Sus scrofa: one gene and its partners. The protein of the gene in region 1 interacts with the protein of each later gene in a pairwise test. Links are inferred from orthologs where the notes say so. Each region holds a gene or a part of one and is shown on either strand. Other genes may lie near its edges.

Region 1 (3,500 bases):
CACCACCGACCACACCTTGACTCGCAGCCCAGCAACCCAAGACGGGTACACAAAACTTCCAAACGTTTCAGAAACAGAAAATGATTTACTAAAGGACAGAAAAGCCCTAAGAATTATTTAATTTGGAAAAACTAAAACTTGAAGGGGAGTTCCCATTGTGGCTCAGCGGTTAGCGAACCTGACTAGCATCCATAAGGACGTGGGTTCGATCCCTGGCCTCGCTCAGTGGGTTTAAGGATCCAGCGTTACCATGAGCTGTGGCGTAGGTCGCAGATGCGGCTCAGGTATGGCGTTGCTTCGGCTGCGGGTGTGGCATAGGCCAGCCAATTTGCCCCCCAGCCTGGGAATCTCCATATGCCTCAGATATGGCCCTAAAAAGCAAAAAAAAACCCAAAAAACCATAAACAAGTGTCACTCTGGAAACTAACTGCTTTTAAAACTGGTTTGCAAAAACAAGCCGGTACCTATTTCACGTGGCTGTCCCAAAACTGCATCAAAGAAGGTGAAACGCATAGCGCCATAGTCAGTAACTGGTAACGATCAAAAATTACACAAAACTCCGACTGGCATCTAGGGAGAGATTCACTATGGAACCAACTGAATACACTGTTATTTACTGGATGGACATACCCAAAAGACTGAAACAGCAGCAAACTCAAAGGTGATACGAATTAGTCAATCAGGAACTGTCTACTTTTTTTTTTTCTTTTTTTTTTTGGCTTTTTAGGGCCACATCTGCGGCATGTGGAGGTTCCCAGGCTAGGGGTCTAATGGGAGCTGTAGCCACCGGCCTACACCACAGCAACGCCGGATCCTTAACCCACTGAGCAAGGCCAGGGATCGAACCCACAACCTCGTCATTCCTCGGGATTCGTTTCCACTGCACCGCAACTGGAACTCCAGGAACTGTCTACTTTCAAGGAGGCATTAAAAGGCAGTCATCTCCTTACTGTTTGTGGGTAGGACAGGGGACGTAACCGGTCGTAATCTTCTTGTCCAGCCGTATCCCATAAGCCCAGATTCACCGGTTTTCCATCCACCATAACATTGGCAGAATAGTTGTCAAAGCTGCAGAAGAAAGCACAAACAATGAGTCGTTAGCCCTGCAGCAAGAGCCCAGGCCTGGGCTGCACAGGCAGCGAGGGGCAGCGGGAGCAGACGGAGGCCCGCAGACGCCGGCCCCGAGGAGAGGCCTCCCGAGCGCTGAGAGGCGGAGGCAAAGGGGAGCCGAACAAGGGAAACAAGCGCGCGGAGGTCTGGGCGACAAGGACAAGCTCCCCAGCTGACCCAACAGGCGCTGCCAGCAATAAAAACCTGCAGGGGGAGTTCCCGCTGTGGCTCGGGGGGTTAAGAACCCGACTCATATCCACGAGGATGTGGGTTCGATCCCTGGCCTCGCTCCGTGGGGTAAGGACCCGGCAGCAGCAGCTCGGATTCATCCCCTAGCCTGGGAACTTCCAGACCCTCAGGCGCGGTCCTGAAAAGCAAAGTAAATAAATAAATAAACCTGCCTGCCTCGAGTGAAGAGAACATCAATGTTTTTCTCCCCCGGAATGAAGAAAGCGTAAAATTAGTTCCTCTTTCACACCCCACTTGTAGAGTTTCTGTGTTCATGTGACTCACTCTCCGTAGGGGCAGCCACCAGGGCTGCACGGGCAGTGCCTGTAGAAATCCACTGGCGGGAGGCTGCTGTCAGGGGAGCCTTGGTCAGGGGAGGGGGAGCACAAAGCACACCCGATCCGAGACGCTACAGTGTCACGTTTTCAAAGGGTGTGCAACCAGGTTTCACCAGGCTATAAATTAACCTGAGGTTGCTGCACTCAAACTAGTTCACTGTGAGAAGAGGCTCGGACGCCCACGGCCCACAGGGCAGAAACAAAGCTGACATTAAAAATTACGAGAGAGTTCCCGTCGTGGTGCAGTGGTTGGCGAGTCCGACTGGGAACCATGGGGTTACAGGTTCGGTCCCTGCCCTTGCTCAGTGGGTTGATGATCCGGCGTTGCCGTGAGCTGTGGTGTAGGTTGCAGACGCAGCTCAGATCCCGCGTTGCTGTGGCTCTGGCGTAGACTGGTGGCTATGGCTCCGATTGGACCCCTAGCCTGGGAGCCTCCATACGCCACAGGAGCGGCCCAAAGAAATGGCAAAAAAAAAAAAAAAAAAAAAAAAAAAAAAAAAATTACGAGTAGCAGGGCATGAAAACATTTTCTAAAAAATTACGAGTACCGTGGAGTCATTGATTAAAAAGCCATCTCTCATCACCATTTAAACCAGGGCAACCTGCTGTACAGCACAGGGAACTGTATCTAGTCACTTGTAATGGAACAGGATGGAGGATAAGGTGAGAAAAAGAAGGTACATACATACATATGTATGACTGGGTCACTCTGCTGTTCAGCAGAAAAATGACAGAACGTTGTAAATCAACAACAGGAAAAAATATCAAAACCTAAAAAAGTTGTTAATAAATACACAAACAAACCAGGGCAAGTACTGAGCAGAACACAAAACATAAGCCTTGAAAATAAAATTCCAGAATTAACTTGTCCATACTTAAGGCTAAACCTTAGGATCTTGGTGGCAGCAAAGCCATGGTCTGAGTAGGTTCCAATGTGATTTTTAAGTTAATGACCAAGCCAGCTTTCCTAGGGAAAAGTGCTATACACGTCTGGTTTGGTGGGAAGAGGCTAGATTATTCAATAAACAGTACTGTGACTTTTTTTTTCAGGAGGCTCAGCTACATGGGGCTCCCTGGCAACCCCATCATCAGAAAAGCACTTTTCCATTCCACCCAATTCTGCTGCCAATAGCGAAGCAGCAGCTCAGCACCAGCTCCGTCCTCCCACACACCCCCGCCCTGCACACACGCGCACACGTGCGCACACACACACCCTGGTTTCAATACCGAAGCCCAGTAACTCAACAGTGACAAGCAACCATTGGGTTGCTTGCCAGAAAAGGCCAATTAAAACATAATGGTATTTTGTTCCGGTTCCTTGACCCTTCACACAGAGAGCCCAGAAAGCCAAATTTATCTGAAACGCTCACATTATCCAGTCTCTGGGTTTCACGGTTGGTTTAACTTTCATTTCCTGAATATCTAGAAATCAATTAGGAAAGCTGTTTCATCACTGTGCAGAAACTTTCTATTAGATTAAGTATCTTCTAAAGGCCCAAACACCTTATAATTAGACTCGGTGAATGAAAAGACAATTAATTCTATCTGTTCCCATAAGGATTAAGAAAGACATAGCAGAACAAGTCAATGGAATCCAAAAAAACCCTGTGACAGACAATTCCCGGTGTACCTCGGGATACTTACACCGTGGGGATATATTCTCCGGGAAAGGCATTGGTCGTGTAACTGATCAGGAGGCAAGTTTTACCCACAGCTCTGAAGAGACAGAAAAAAAAAAAAATGGTGTAAATTGCTTCGTCAACATGAATGCAATCCTCGCTGTCATTATGCGGTGAAAATGTTTGATAGGAAAATCAGAAGTAT
Region 2 (4,228 bases), on another chromosome or scaffold:
TTATTTCTATTAATGTTATCTGTGTATGTATCATTCCTGTTAAGATTGTAAGCAACCTGAAAAACGAATGTCTTCTTGATCTTTCTCCTCCCACGGTAGGTATACAAGAAATATTAAGTACACACTGAATTTTAAGTATATATATATATAAATGTATACATAAAAATAATAGACATGGTCCATAAGGTTACATTGGAAGTTTCCTTCACTTTCTTCTGGAGAAAAATCACTGCCATAACAATATCTTCTTTAAAAATCACCATATTTACTTATGAAAATGACATTAGCGATTTTTTTGACCCCTATCGCTTATCAGTATACCCTTATGTATATAGGAATTGCTATAATAACTTCCTTGGCTTAGAATATAATATTGTCTTTCAATGTTTCAATTTTACATTATTGTATATGTCTACTGATGGTAAACAAAACCACCTTACCATTGAAAAGAGCAGTGTAGGAAGAAATAGCTTGCCTAGTGGCTGTTCCAAAACCCACACATCTGAGACGACACAACTTTTTTTTTTTTTTTTTGAGAGAAAGAGAAGAGCAGTCACAGTATAATTATACTTCTCTGTACCCAGTTCCTCCACACCTCCACCACCTGCACAAAATCTATCAACCCAAATGTCTGTTCAGGGCCCAGACTTTCAGGTTCCCCAGTTGAAAATAATAGATAGGTTTCCAGTTCAATAATTAATTTACCAAAGATTTACTGAATACCTACTATGTAGAAAGCACTGTGGAGGACCCTGAAATTAAAACGACGTAATTTTCACCTTCTAGAATGCATGATTAAATGCACAATACAAACACATAAACAACTCTGTTATAAAGCAGATTATGTAAGGTCTAAAAAGCTTCCAACAAGGTACAAACAGAATGGTATGAGGAGAGAGGGTGATTTAATCCGAGTATCTGAGAAGCTTCAAATGAGAGATGGATTTCTATTTGGACTCTCTTTGAAATCAAGCAAAGATTTTCGGGTTAATTATTTTACTTGTGGCCTGTAATTAAGTAGAAAACCTTTGCAATGTTCAAAGGAAAGACACAAGGTATCCAATAATCTGAACTGATATTTATTTAAAATTCTACTCCCAGAGAAATTTATATAAATAATAAATGGGCCACCAAACTTTTACAGAAATATGTTCAGCATACCTACAGCACATTAAAAAGGAAAAAACTGAACAACAGAAAACAAAATTCAGTGTCCTAGATTTATACCTCCTCTTGCAAAAATGACCTCTTCCGCCAAAGGTCTGAATCAGAGCTTGGAGCATTTGCTCTTCGAGTGAGCTCCATAGACACCATTTCTAGATTTAGATATTTCCTTGAAGATTTTGAGTTGCCATGACCTAACTCTGGACGTGTTGGGCACCAGACTGACAGATAAAAGGTCCACACTCATCTCAAGCTTAAAATAACTTGCAAGGAAGGGGTGGGGAAAGTCTGAGTTGACAGGTGCCAAAGGAGCAAATTTTAAAAAGAAGAAAGAAACTATGACAGGAATGGAAGCAAACTGGGGAACAGGCAGAAGCATGGCATTCCAAACCGCTACAATTTTTAAAAATGTTTCGTCTTTTAATCACATTACCGTAGCCACCAGACGTTTTTGCAATTACTGAACTTAACAATGAAGCAACATATTATGAAAAAGTAGGATTAATTATATGTAGCTTTGTAAAACATCTCATCCCAACTCTTAAATATCTCATCCCAAACTCTTAAGATTAATCACAAACACGAAGGAACTAAAATCGCATTATATAGATTCCGACAAGGGAAGCTGGGAAAGCATTACTAGTATGTAAGTTCGGTACCATGTTACAGACAGGCAGGGTGCAGTTTCGTGCTACAGGAGACAGGCGAAGGAGCCAAGAAAATGCGTTGAACACCGGAATAGTGCACACTGTAGTCACCCAACACGAATTCAACAGCTAGCGGCTCTATCCATCCTGCCTCACGTTCCTCGTGGCCTCTGACAAGTCATCCTTTCAACCTATGAGACTGTCCGCTCTCCCCCACCGAAAATAATTTCCGTGCAGGTTGTAAAATCACCCCCACAAACTACTTGCTCCCACTTCCCCGCCTCGGGATGAGCAGTCCCCAAGATGGGGAAAGGTCGCCCAGACAGGGAAGTTACGTGAAGTGGTCTTTCTAGCGGTCGGACCCGAGTCTCCAGCCCAGCAGCCGCGAGGGGAAGGAAGCCGGCGGCCTCTGAAGAAACCGGGATGGGGCAGCGGATGCGAGCCCGCGGGGCAGGCTCCGTGGTGCCCGGGCACCGGCTCGGGCAGGAAGAATGGAGGAGGGGAGGCGAGGCAGCGAGGTGCCCGAGAGCCGGGCGGCGGTCCGGCCCCGCGGCCCGACCCCACCCCGCACTCTGGACCCTCCCAGCCCTGGGACCCGGCGTGCGTTCCGCGTGCGCCGACTCTCCCCGGAGAAACAGCCACTGCCTCACCCCGGTGGACTGGAGAAATCCGGCAACTTTGCGCGAGAAATGCTTCCCACCCTGCACCACGCCGAGAAAGAGAAATATGTCAGGCGATGACGGGGGAGGAAGGATGACTTACCCATGTTCCTCCCAGAGGGTGAGGAGCCGGCAGGTCGAGGCGAAGGTCTCCGGTGCGGGCGGCGCGGCGCTGTGTCCTCCCTCTACCTCTGTCTCTCCCGCAACCAGGGAGGGACCCGCGGGGGGCGGCCGCCGGGGAGGAGCAGCTGGTGCTGCCGCTGCTGCTGCCGCTGCTGCTGCTGCTGCAGGCAGCGCGGCCGCGGCGGGGACGAGCGGCGGGGGGCGGGGCGGGGTAGGGCGGGGCGGGCGCAGCCTGCGGCGGGCGCAGCTCGGAGCGGGCAGGCGGCGGAGGCGCCGAGCCGGCCGGAGGAGCGCCCGCCCCGACGCGCACTCCGGGAGCGCCCCGCCCTCCCCGCCGAGCATGCTCAGTGCCTCCCTTTTTTTTCCCCCCGGGGCAAGTCAATCTGAGCGTGCGGGTGGGCGTGTGTTTGCGGGCCGGCTGCAGCCGCCGCGGAGGAGCTTGATGGCTGCCGCCGGAGGGGCGGAGGGTAGGCCCTGGGCAGGCTGGGTACCGGGACGCTGTGCCCGAACTATTACCTTCCAGGTCGCTACCCCGACCTGGCCAACCCACACCCGGAAAACGGGCCAGTCTTCATTACCCGACAGGCCGGGTGCACAGGCGGGAATTTCCCGAAGGAGGAGACCCTGGGCCGCCTCAGACCCGGGAGGGTGGTCGGGAAGCAAGGCAGTCGTCCTGAAACGGGGCCGGCATGGACATGCTGGCGATGAGGCCAGCGCCTCTGGAGACAGATATCTGAGGACGCTTGTTTTCAGAGCAGCCGTGTGGGCCCGCTGGGCACAGAGAAGGGAGGTGGCCGCGGGAAGGGCGCTTAACATTAGCGGGCACATCAGTGGGACAGTTAAGTCTGTCCTGGCTGCGGCCAGTTTAAAAGAGGTTCCCGGCAGCGAGAGGAGTGACCGCCCCGGGATTTCTTCGGAGCGTATCGTTCTCCTTCCTAGGGGAGCGCGGCCTTCCTTTCCCCGGAGGACACCCGAAAAGCCATGTCACAAGGGTGCCCTGGCCGTCGGGCGCCACCCTCCTCGGATGTGCCCATCTTTGCCCCGCTCCCTTTAAACGCGGCGGGAACAGGTTGCCAAGGCAGGAAACCAAAAGTCCGCCCAGTTGGCTGCGGCCCCATCGGGTCGAACGCCGGAGTTTCCTTGGACCACGGGGCCAGCGCCTGCTCCCCGCACCTCCCCAGCGGCGGGGACAACCTGAGCTGGGCGCTCCCTTTTGAGGGCACCCTCCCAACTGGGCATGCGCGCGAGACAGAGGCTGGTCTTGCGTCCTCCGCCCTGCGGGAGGAGGCTGGGGGAAACCTTCCCGTTCCCTGCACTCTGGTCGCGCCCCGACTCTCGGTGGTTGGGGTGAGGAGTCAGGTCGGTCTCCCCAGGCGGCAGCAACTACGGTCTAGGCGGGGAAAGGGCGCAGGCAGTAGCACAGCCTGTAGGAGGGAGATGCTGAATAGCTAAATGGAAATTTCTCTTTTTCAACTTTTACTCTTTCAGCCCAATGTTGAGAAAAGGTGCTCCCTGCCCTTCATCAGCGGCCCTCTTACAGTCAGATCCGTTTCCATTTATATGACTGATACTACAAAGCACACAAGTCAAAATAGGCCTTGTAATTTGTTGAGCAGGGCAGATTTTCTAAAACAA
Region 3 (4,147 bases), on another chromosome or scaffold:
AAAAATGTTAACTCTTTAATGTTGGCAGTTAATTTTAAAATTTTAAATATTTAATACTTAAATATTTAAGGAGTTCCCATCGTGGCTCAGTGGAAACAAATCTGACTAGGATCCATGAGGACATGAGGACACAAGTTTGATCCCTGGCCTCACTCTGTGGGGAGGGGATCCAGCATTGCCATGAGTGAGCTGTGATGTAGGTCACAGACACAGCTTGGATCTGGCATTGCTGTGGCTGTAGCATAGGCCAGAGACTACAGCTCTGATTTGACACCTAGACCCATAGCCTGGGAACCTCCATATGCCATGGGTGCGGCCCTAAAAAGGCAAAAATTTTTTTTTTAATATTTAAAATGGCAAACAAACCAAACACATCTGTGAGCCAGATTCAGCAGGCAGGCTATCAATTGTGAGTACTCACAAAGAGAGAAGGTCAAGGGTCAAAGTTCATACACTGTCTTGGTGATACATAGGGAGATAAGAGACTGTGACAGGATTCAGTAACTAAAATACTATACTTAAAGCTTTTTCCAGCATTCTGAGCTCTATGACTGTCTCTACCCTTTAAGCCTATATATGGATTTGAATTTATACAGGAAGTTTAATCTAATCCTCAAATGGTGAAATCACCAGAATTTGAGTGCTTACTGTGTGCTGAGTACACAGAAGTCAAAGAATTTCAAATCTAACTGGAGAAAAAACATGCCCTCCTGAAAACTTGAGACAAATTATGAAATAACCTGAGAGACTGCTTTCTTCAGATTATGTTAGAATATCAGAGTCACCTTAAGTCCTGGTCCCCTCACTCCCACCCCCCGCATCACTTCCATTTAGCAAACTTTGTAGTAATGCCTCTGTGTGTGTGTGTGTGTGTGTGTGTGTGTGTGTGTGTGTGTGTGTGTGTAACTTGAATCTCTAATCAGAAATCTGATTTCCAGGGCAGTGGTTAAAAAGTGGCAGCCTCCATCCCTCCCTCAGCTTTGGAGGGGACTTAGCTGGGTTGGGGGTACTGGGGCGCGGGACAGTAGAATGGGAGTGGTTGGCGAAAACTGCTCCCCGTTAGGTTTCTCCGTTGGAATCCCTGTCTTTGTTTCTGTCATTACTCTTTAAGTGTTTGTGTAGGAGCAGACAGGCACCGAAATAGAAATTGTCAAAGAGATGATGACAATGAAGATAAAATACAAGGGAGGACTTTTTTTTTCAGTCCCACCTAGCCCCCTCCATCCAGAGTGCCAGCGCGCCTCCTCCCGCCGTCTTCAAAGAGCCGTCGATGGGGCAGGAAGCGGGTGGCTCGGGCTGTGGGTGCTCCTAGGAGAGCGGCGATTTCCTCCCGGGCGGGCCAGTTATCTCTAGAGTCGCCGAGCAGCTCTGCGAAGAGCGCGTTCTCTCCCCAACCCCGTACTCCTCAACCCACCCACCTACTTCCTCCGGCTCCATACACACATGAGCACAGAGCTGCCAAAAATTTCCACCCTCCGCCCCCCTCCCTAGCTAACTTCCTTCCAGCATTTCCTGAGCTGGATGATCCTAGGATTTGTAAGACAGGAAAAAAAGGAAGGCGTGAGGGCGGGCGAGAGAGACAGGATGCTTGTTTTTCGTTCTACCAAAGCCGTCTGAAGGCAAGACAGCGCGCGCCGGGCAGAGGACCCACGCAGTCCCCGGGCCGTCTCCGCGCCCGCCGCCGGCTTCCCCGCGCCCTCGGCCACTCCCGGGCTTCGAGAAGACGGACCGGAGAGCTCGCCCTCCCTCCAAAGAGGAGGAAGACAACCGAAGACACCGCGGGAACCTGTGAAAGTCCCTGGGACTCCAAGTGAGGAAGTGACACTCCCAGCGAGCCGGCCCGCCGCTGCCAGCTCCGCACGGCCTGCGGCACCGCGGCCCTGGAGGAGCGCGCGGTGGATTTCAGGCTCCGCGCCCGCGCCGGGCTCAGCGCCCCGCGGGCTCCATGCGCTCTGTCCCGGGCCCAAACTCTTCCCGACGCCCATGCGGCCCCACAGCGCCGCGCCGCAGCCACTGATCTAACCCCCACCCCGGAGACCACCGTCGGCGCGGTGCCAAGCAGAGGGGAGGGGGAGACGGAGGGCAACCTCTTTGGGACTAACTCATGAAGAACAAGGGTGCCAAGCAGAAGCTGAAACGAAAGGGAGCCGCCAGCGCCTTTGGCTGTGACCTCACGGAGTATCTGGAAAGCTCAGGACAGGATGGTAAAGTGCCTTCGCCTACCCCCCTCCCCCCTTCTTTTTGTTTGAGAGAAAGAGGGACTCTCCGAGGGTGTGTTACATTCAATTCACAAGTTAATGTATTCCAGGCTTGTGCGCTCCTTCTACTTTTTTTTCTTTTTGAAGAATATACACAATTCTTGAGGTGCATAGCGCTGCCACCCCGACGTGTAGAGGTTGTGTCAGTCCTTCCGTTTGTGTCACACAAGCCGTTAATGGGCGGTGCTGCTGCAAGTTTAAGCGGCTACCCCTGGGGGCCTGGGGTGGGGGCTGGAGAGATCCCGATCCCCAACTTTGGATGTGGGAGAGGAGGGGTGAGGACTGGACCTGTGGGATGGTGTTCACTGGGCTTCTCTGGGTACATAATTATGACCGCCTTAGGTGTCCCTCCCGGCTTCTCCAGTTTCATCAGCTCACATCTTTTTTTATTAATGTGCTGGAAGGCAGGGGGTGCGGTGGATCCTGGCTGGGGGAGTGGTTGCACAAACATTTTCTGAATTTCTGAACTGATGCCAAATATATAGTACCTCCCTCCCTCCCCTTCCCAACCCCTCAGACCCTTTACCTCCTCTTGGCTTTCAGATTAGCGTTTGGTGTGTCAGACAAGAAGAGTGTTGTAAAAAGGTCAGAGGGCCTTGCCTTGAAAATAGTTTAGGAGAGCGTTTCTTAAGGAGAGAGTCTCTGCTTTCAAGGTCAGATTGGAAAAAAAGCCGATCCTCCAGAGTAGAGACAATTTAAACATTTGTTAGGGGGAGGGCGAAAGAAAACAATCCAGAACACAATAACAGCATTTGAGGTTAGAAGTTTTTAATCATAGGAACGTTGGAGAAATTGAGCATTAAATGACTCCTTTTGTAAGGTTGACTGGCCCTGTACTTATCCGTGACAAAAAGGCCTTGTCTTCAGAAACTTCAGTGAGAGAGAAAAAAGTCTACTATATGGGCCTTGTGTTTATACATACATAGATACAAGAAAGGGGGGAAACTGAAGGGCTAACTATGCAGAATAATTCTGCCTCCAGGAAAATAATCTCAAAAGCTATTTGATTAGCTCATATCAAATGTGCATCTCAAAAACAGAGCAATGCTTTTGTTTCTATTTCATTTTTTTCAAAGACTCAGCACCACCTAGTAATTTGCAGTGGTGTGATATTCCTGCGGAATTCTTGAGTTCAGAGTCTGCTGTGTCATTAGGACAAATAGCTTGGTATTTTACAGCTTGGGGGACCGCACATTTCAAAACTGCCTCTTTTGCAACTGGGACACAGCAGAGTCAATTCATTTAATCCTCTCCAACAATCTGGAGAGGTAGATTTGAAATAACATCGCATGGGGTTGAGTTTTTTTGAGTGTGAGAGAACGCCAAGTATGCAGCTTAACCATTACCCTCAGAAGTTCGCAATGAAATGTTTTCCTCCACCTGTTTTTGCAAAGGGGGGCCTTCAGGTTCACATCCAGGTTCACTTAATGAATGCTTGTGGATACCACCTCCTACCATGCAGGTGTTCTTCTGGGCCCTCACTCCAAAGTTTAGAGTTGCGTGGAGGTGCTTATCAATCCTGCCCCTTCTTACAATGTCACAGGTCATAGGATGAGCCAGGAATCCCAGGGTTCTGTAAAGACACTTCAAAGGCAGCCTTAGACAATCCCTCTTTCACCTGCTTTGTATTTTGGGCTTTCATATATGTTTCATTTGGAAAAAAAGAAAAAGAAAAGGGACTACTGCTGAAAGGGGAAAAAAATGGAAACCAGTACCCAGTGCTACCTACCCTGGGAAGGGAGGAGGCAGTGCAAAGAGGTAAACTGACCTGCCTTATATCTTCAGTCATGAAGGAGGCAGAGGGCTCTGGCCCACTAGGCTCCTCTCCCTTCCCCGGCTTCCTTGTCTAGGCCAACATTCTCCTCTAATGCTTTTTTTTCTCCCCCTAA
Region 4 (4,249 bases), on another chromosome or scaffold:
TCTCCATCCTGTCTCAACAACTCCTGTTTGCTTCAAGATAAATTACTTTGCTTATCTACAGACTACTCCTAATTTGGTCTCTGCCTAAGTTCCCAGTTTCAGATCTTGCCACCACCCTGTACCCTTGCTATCTATACCTGCAGACCCTACGATTCACGGAAGTTGAGACTCCTGCAGTTTCTCCTACCTAAATGCCCATGCTTTCTGTGCCTGTACACCTACCGTTTTCATCCCCTCCAATATACACTTTTTCTTCCTAGTGCCCCCTTTCTCAATCTTTCCTTCTCCTCCCTTAAAAATAAAATGACCACTACCTCCTTTGTACACCCACTGTGGCCCATCCTTTCTCCAGTGAAAATGATCTTAAAAACACATTGGACTTGCAGACAGTTCAAATAAGAGATAAAGTCTTATCACACAGAAAGCAGGGACAGTACCTTATCTATCTCTAAGCCATCTTCACAGTACCTGCTACACAAAAATTCCTCTACACTAAGTGATCTGCAATTTCCCATATATTAACAAAAGTTTCTATCCCAGATTTCCTTTCAAGAAAGAACATACTTTGGGGTGACATTCTGGGCCCAATCTTTCCTTGCCAAGCAAACAACTGTATAAATCAAAGTTAATATGCACTTTCTAATACCACTTATATTTTTCTAAATTAAAAGAGAAGTGGTCCCTGGAGGATGTAAAATGAGAAATGCTATTTTGAAGAAAAGATCATAAATTATGTCACCTTGCTTCAAGATACTTTGTTTAAAGAATTACTTCTCAACAGTTACTGTCAAACGGGCTACTATGAAAAGTGGGAACCCTTCTACTAACTTCCTACCTCGACTACTCACCAATTCAGTTTACAGCAATTACGCATTCTCAGGAAAATACTCAGAAAGGAATTAATTAATCATCTAGAAAACTGGAAAGGCAAAAAGTGAAGTCACCTTTCTCATTCAGAGGTCCACTTATTCTTTTAGAAGTACTGCTGCCTCCAGGACCACCAAACCACAAGTGGGCCTGTCCCTTATGACTTCTTGAATATTCCGTGAATAACTGCCCAGTGGGACAGAATGTCACCCAAGGGCCGCAACCCTGGGACATGCACGCTCCGCTCAATAAAAAAAAAATCGGCGAAAGCTCTGCTAATGGGGCGAGTCGGTGTGTTAACTCAGTGTCCAAATGACTGTGCTTCTTTCAAAAGAATGTTCAAAATCCCTCGAATTAGTATTTTAATCACCTTCCAGAACTCCACCAGGCCCGAGACATGTTGCTTGCTCAAGAGGAAGGCTCTGGGTCATGAATCCCAGAACCTGAAGCAGCATAATGACTTCAGGTAAAGCAGAGGTGCGGGAATTTTGTAAAACCTGTTTCACTCTCACAACGACCAAGCGTGGGGGGTGGGGGGTATGCTGACCTCAATAAAGCCTTTAAGCACAAACCTAATAGACAAGGTTGTGAAAAGAATTTTCCCCTCGGATCGGTCCCGCGGAAGCCCCGGAGCTCTGCCGCTCCCGCGCTGGCGGTGGAAGACCGCGAGCCCCTCCCCGCCCACCTGGCAGCACTAGAGGCCGGTCACAGTTCCGCTGCGGTTACGTAAAGGGCCGAGTCCCCAAGCTCCATCCCCGCGCTCAGTGGCTGCCTGAGGCAGAGCCCCAAACCCACCCTCCTCCCCTAGACCCAAGAGCCCGGACACACCGCGGAGTCCCGATAGGCCAGCTGAAGAGCGGGAGAGACCGGCAGTGGGGGCGAAACGCGGAGGAACCCGCCGGGTCCAGCCCGCTAGGGCAGCCACGCCCCCGCCCCCGCCGCGCCGGCCAGGAGCCTGGCCCCGCTCCAGGCTGACATACGCCGCGACCCCCGCCCACCCACCGTTCGCCACTGACCTGCGCCCGCGCCGGGTGAGCGCCTGCCCTGCCGCAGCCGCCGCTTCCCGACTCTCACGCCGCCGCCGCCGCCGCCGCAACCACCTCCTTCGCTAAGCCCTGGGCCGGCCTCTGGCACCCCATTCCCACCCCGCCCCAGCCTCCGCCTGTTTACAATGATTGGGACAGAACCGGACGAGCCGGGCCAGCGCGCACGCGCACTCCTTCCCCGCCGCAGCCGGCTTCCCGGGTCCCCAGCTCGGCGCTGAAGGCCGGAGCCGTCGAGGGCCGGCGCCCTATGCCCCCAGCGTGGAGCACGCTGGGAGCGGTAGTCCACGGAAACCCATAGCCGAGGCTGTAGGCAGTCCTCCGCCAGGAAGCGCACTACAACACCCAGGAAGCACCACGCCTGCCCGGTCCCGGCGCCCGCTGGGGAGAGCTGGGAGCGCGCGAGAGGACGCGCCGGGCTCGAGTCCGCTGGCGCCTGCGCAGTTCCTGGTGGTGGCGGGCGACGCGCACCTTGCCCAAGCGAGGTCTGCGAGGATCGCTGGGGCGGTGCTGGCCGCGGACTGGAGGAGGGCAACGTGTTTCTTAGCTGCGGAAGCTCAGACCTTCCCGCCGGCGGGTTTCAGCCGTAACCAGTTAAACCGGCCCGGAGGCCGGCTCGGCCCGCTCTTGGGTGGGGCCTCCCCCCGCCCCGATTGGGCGCAGAGGCTTCGGCTTCCGTGGGGACTTTGGCTGCGGGTTGCGGCACAGGGAGCGCCGTGGCCTCCGCGGAGAAACTTGTGTAGACTCCGTGCCGGGACTGACCTCGGCATCCCTGAAATTAGTGTCCAGAAGGCAAACCCTCGGGTCTTGCGGTGCAACGGGGTCCCAGTTCCCACCGCCTTCTCTGGCTCGGCGTTTCCCGAGGAGCTCCTTAATTAGAACTGCCCATCGCACGGTTAGCTTGCCAACCAAAAGCATTGAATCTAGAAGAAGACCAAAATAACCGTACTTCCTCCAGAACGCCTTCACAAAAGCTGGAAGAATTGTGCTAATGCATGGCTGGAAACCAGGGGCCTTTAACTGTTACTGTTTCATAAAGTGTGGCGGTTTATTAGAGGAATGATAAAACCGGAATAGATGGCGCTTCCCGATCCTCACATTCCCACCTGCGATGCTCCTCTGAACTTCATTCCATGTTTAGATTGACCTCTCTAATCCATCTTGCCTTGCTCTTTACTCAAGGCTAACAGTAGGTCTCCCTCGTACTTTACATTTCCTTCTCAATAAAGTGCAGCCACCTTGTCTGACCTTCAAGAAGAGCCCACAATTAAAATACCAAGTTGGGAGTTCCCGTCGTGGCGCAGTGGTTAACAAATCCGACTAGGAACCATAAGGTTGCGGGTTCGGTCCCTGCCCTTGCTCAGTGGGTTAACGATCCGACGTTGCCGTGAGCTGCTGAGCTGCAGACGCGGCTGGGATTCCGGTTCCTGTGGCTCTGGTGTAGGCCGGTGGCTACAGCTCTGATTGGACCCCTAGCCTGGGAATCTCCATATGCCAGCAGGAGCGGCCCAAGAAATAGCAAAAAGACAAAAATAAATAAATAAATAAAATAAAAGCTTCTGTTTAAGTCTGGAGATACATGAATCTCCAGGACCCATGAAAACTTTTATCTGAAAAAGGAAAAATAAAAATAAAAATAAAATACCAAGTTGGTCTGTGCTTGCCATTGTTTTGACAGCTTTAAAATTTTCTTATTGCCTCACTGGCAACAGCACAGTGTCCTCACCACTGGGATCGATCGGCACGTTAACCAAGCCAGTTAGAATACTCTGCCTTTGGCAGCACCGACTGGGCCAAGGGATAGGACTGATCCAAGTTGGGCATTATTGACCCCTTGCTGGAAATTGTTATATGAACACAAAAAAGGGAGGGAAGATTGCATCTTACTGTAGCAACAGCTGACCGCCACCTTCTTCACAACAAAAAGAGGCCTTTGTGCAGCAGCAATGAATGAAGCCAAAAGGAGACTTGGAGTGCTAGTGGAGGAGGGAGGAAACAAACAGCTGACCGCATGGAGACTGTGTTTCAGTTTCAGAGGGCATGGCTAGCATACCTCTTTCTAAAGTGCTTTGAGTATGTGAACCTAGCCGAGAGAGCCAATGCAGCTATTTATTTATTATTATTTAGGGCTAATTTGTGTGGTTATGGAACATATTTGTTGGTTGCCTCCTGCAATTTATTCCTCCCATTTAAGCCACACAGCATAATTCTTCCTTTTGGTGGTGGAGGCTTTCAGAGATGGTCACCTAACTCAGTCAGAGCCGACGAGATCCACTGAGACTTGGGTTGGAGCTTCTAGTAAACTGCAGCATTCTTGCTCTTCTGGTATGGTGAAAGTT

What was found. The genes of interacting proteins can lie anywhere in the genome.
Region 2: the proteins of RAC1 (region 1) and RAP1GDS1 interact in binary tests that used the Homo sapiens proteins (3 or more experiments, as listed by UniProt). The link is inferred for Sus scrofa from reciprocal best matches to the Homo sapiens genes RAC1 and RAP1GDS1.
Region 3: the proteins of RAC1 (region 1) and ARHGAP31 interact in a two-hybrid assay, tested with the Homo sapiens proteins (2 studies listed by BioGRID and IntAct, with this or other methods). The link is inferred for Sus scrofa from reciprocal best matches to the Homo sapiens genes RAC1 and ARHGAP31.
Region 4: the proteins of RAC1 (region 1) and RALBP1 interact in a two-hybrid assay, tested with the Homo sapiens proteins (2 studies listed by BioGRID, with this or other methods). The link is inferred for Sus scrofa from reciprocal best matches to the Homo sapiens genes RAC1 and RALBP1.

Annotation. Positions count from the first base shown.
Region 1 is NC_010445.4:4,790,011-4,793,510, forward strand, and holds part of RAC1 (ras-related C3 botulinum toxin substrate 3), read right to left. Parts: intron 3,393-3,500; coding exon 3,321-3,392; intron 1,069-3,320; coding exon 951-1,068; intron 1-950. UniProt on the Homo sapiens protein: Plasma membrane-associated small GTPase which cycles between active GTP-bound and inactive GDP-bound states.
Region 2 is NC_010450.4:122,004,610-122,008,837, forward strand, and holds the start of RAP1GDS1 (rap1 GTPase-GDP dissociation stimulator 1), read right to left. Parts: upstream 2,801-4,228; 5' UTR 2,578-2,800; coding exon 2,574-2,577; intron 1-2,573. UniProt on the Homo sapiens protein: Acts as a GEF (guanine nucleotide exchange factor) for the Rho family of small GTP-binding proteins (G proteins) that stimulates the dissociation of GDP to enable subsequent binding of GTP.
Region 3 is NC_010455.5:140,945,704-140,949,850, reverse strand, and holds the start of ARHGAP31 (rho GTPase-activating protein 31), read left to right. Parts: upstream 1-1,347; 5' UTR 1,348-2,104; coding exon 2,105-2,204; intron 2,205-4,147. UniProt on the Homo sapiens protein: Functions as a GTPase-activating protein (GAP) for RAC1 and CDC42. Required for cell spreading, polarized lamellipodia formation and cell migration.
Region 4 is NC_010448.4:98,596,146-98,600,394, forward strand, and holds the start of RALBP1 (ralA-binding protein 1), read right to left. Parts: upstream 2,801-4,249; 5' UTR 1,884-2,800; intron 1,785-1,883; exon of another isoform or gene 1,696-1,784; intron 1-1,695. UniProt on the Homo sapiens protein: Multifunctional protein that functions as a downstream effector of RALA and RALB. As a GTPase-activating protein/GAP can inactivate CDC42 and RAC1 by stimulating their GTPase activity.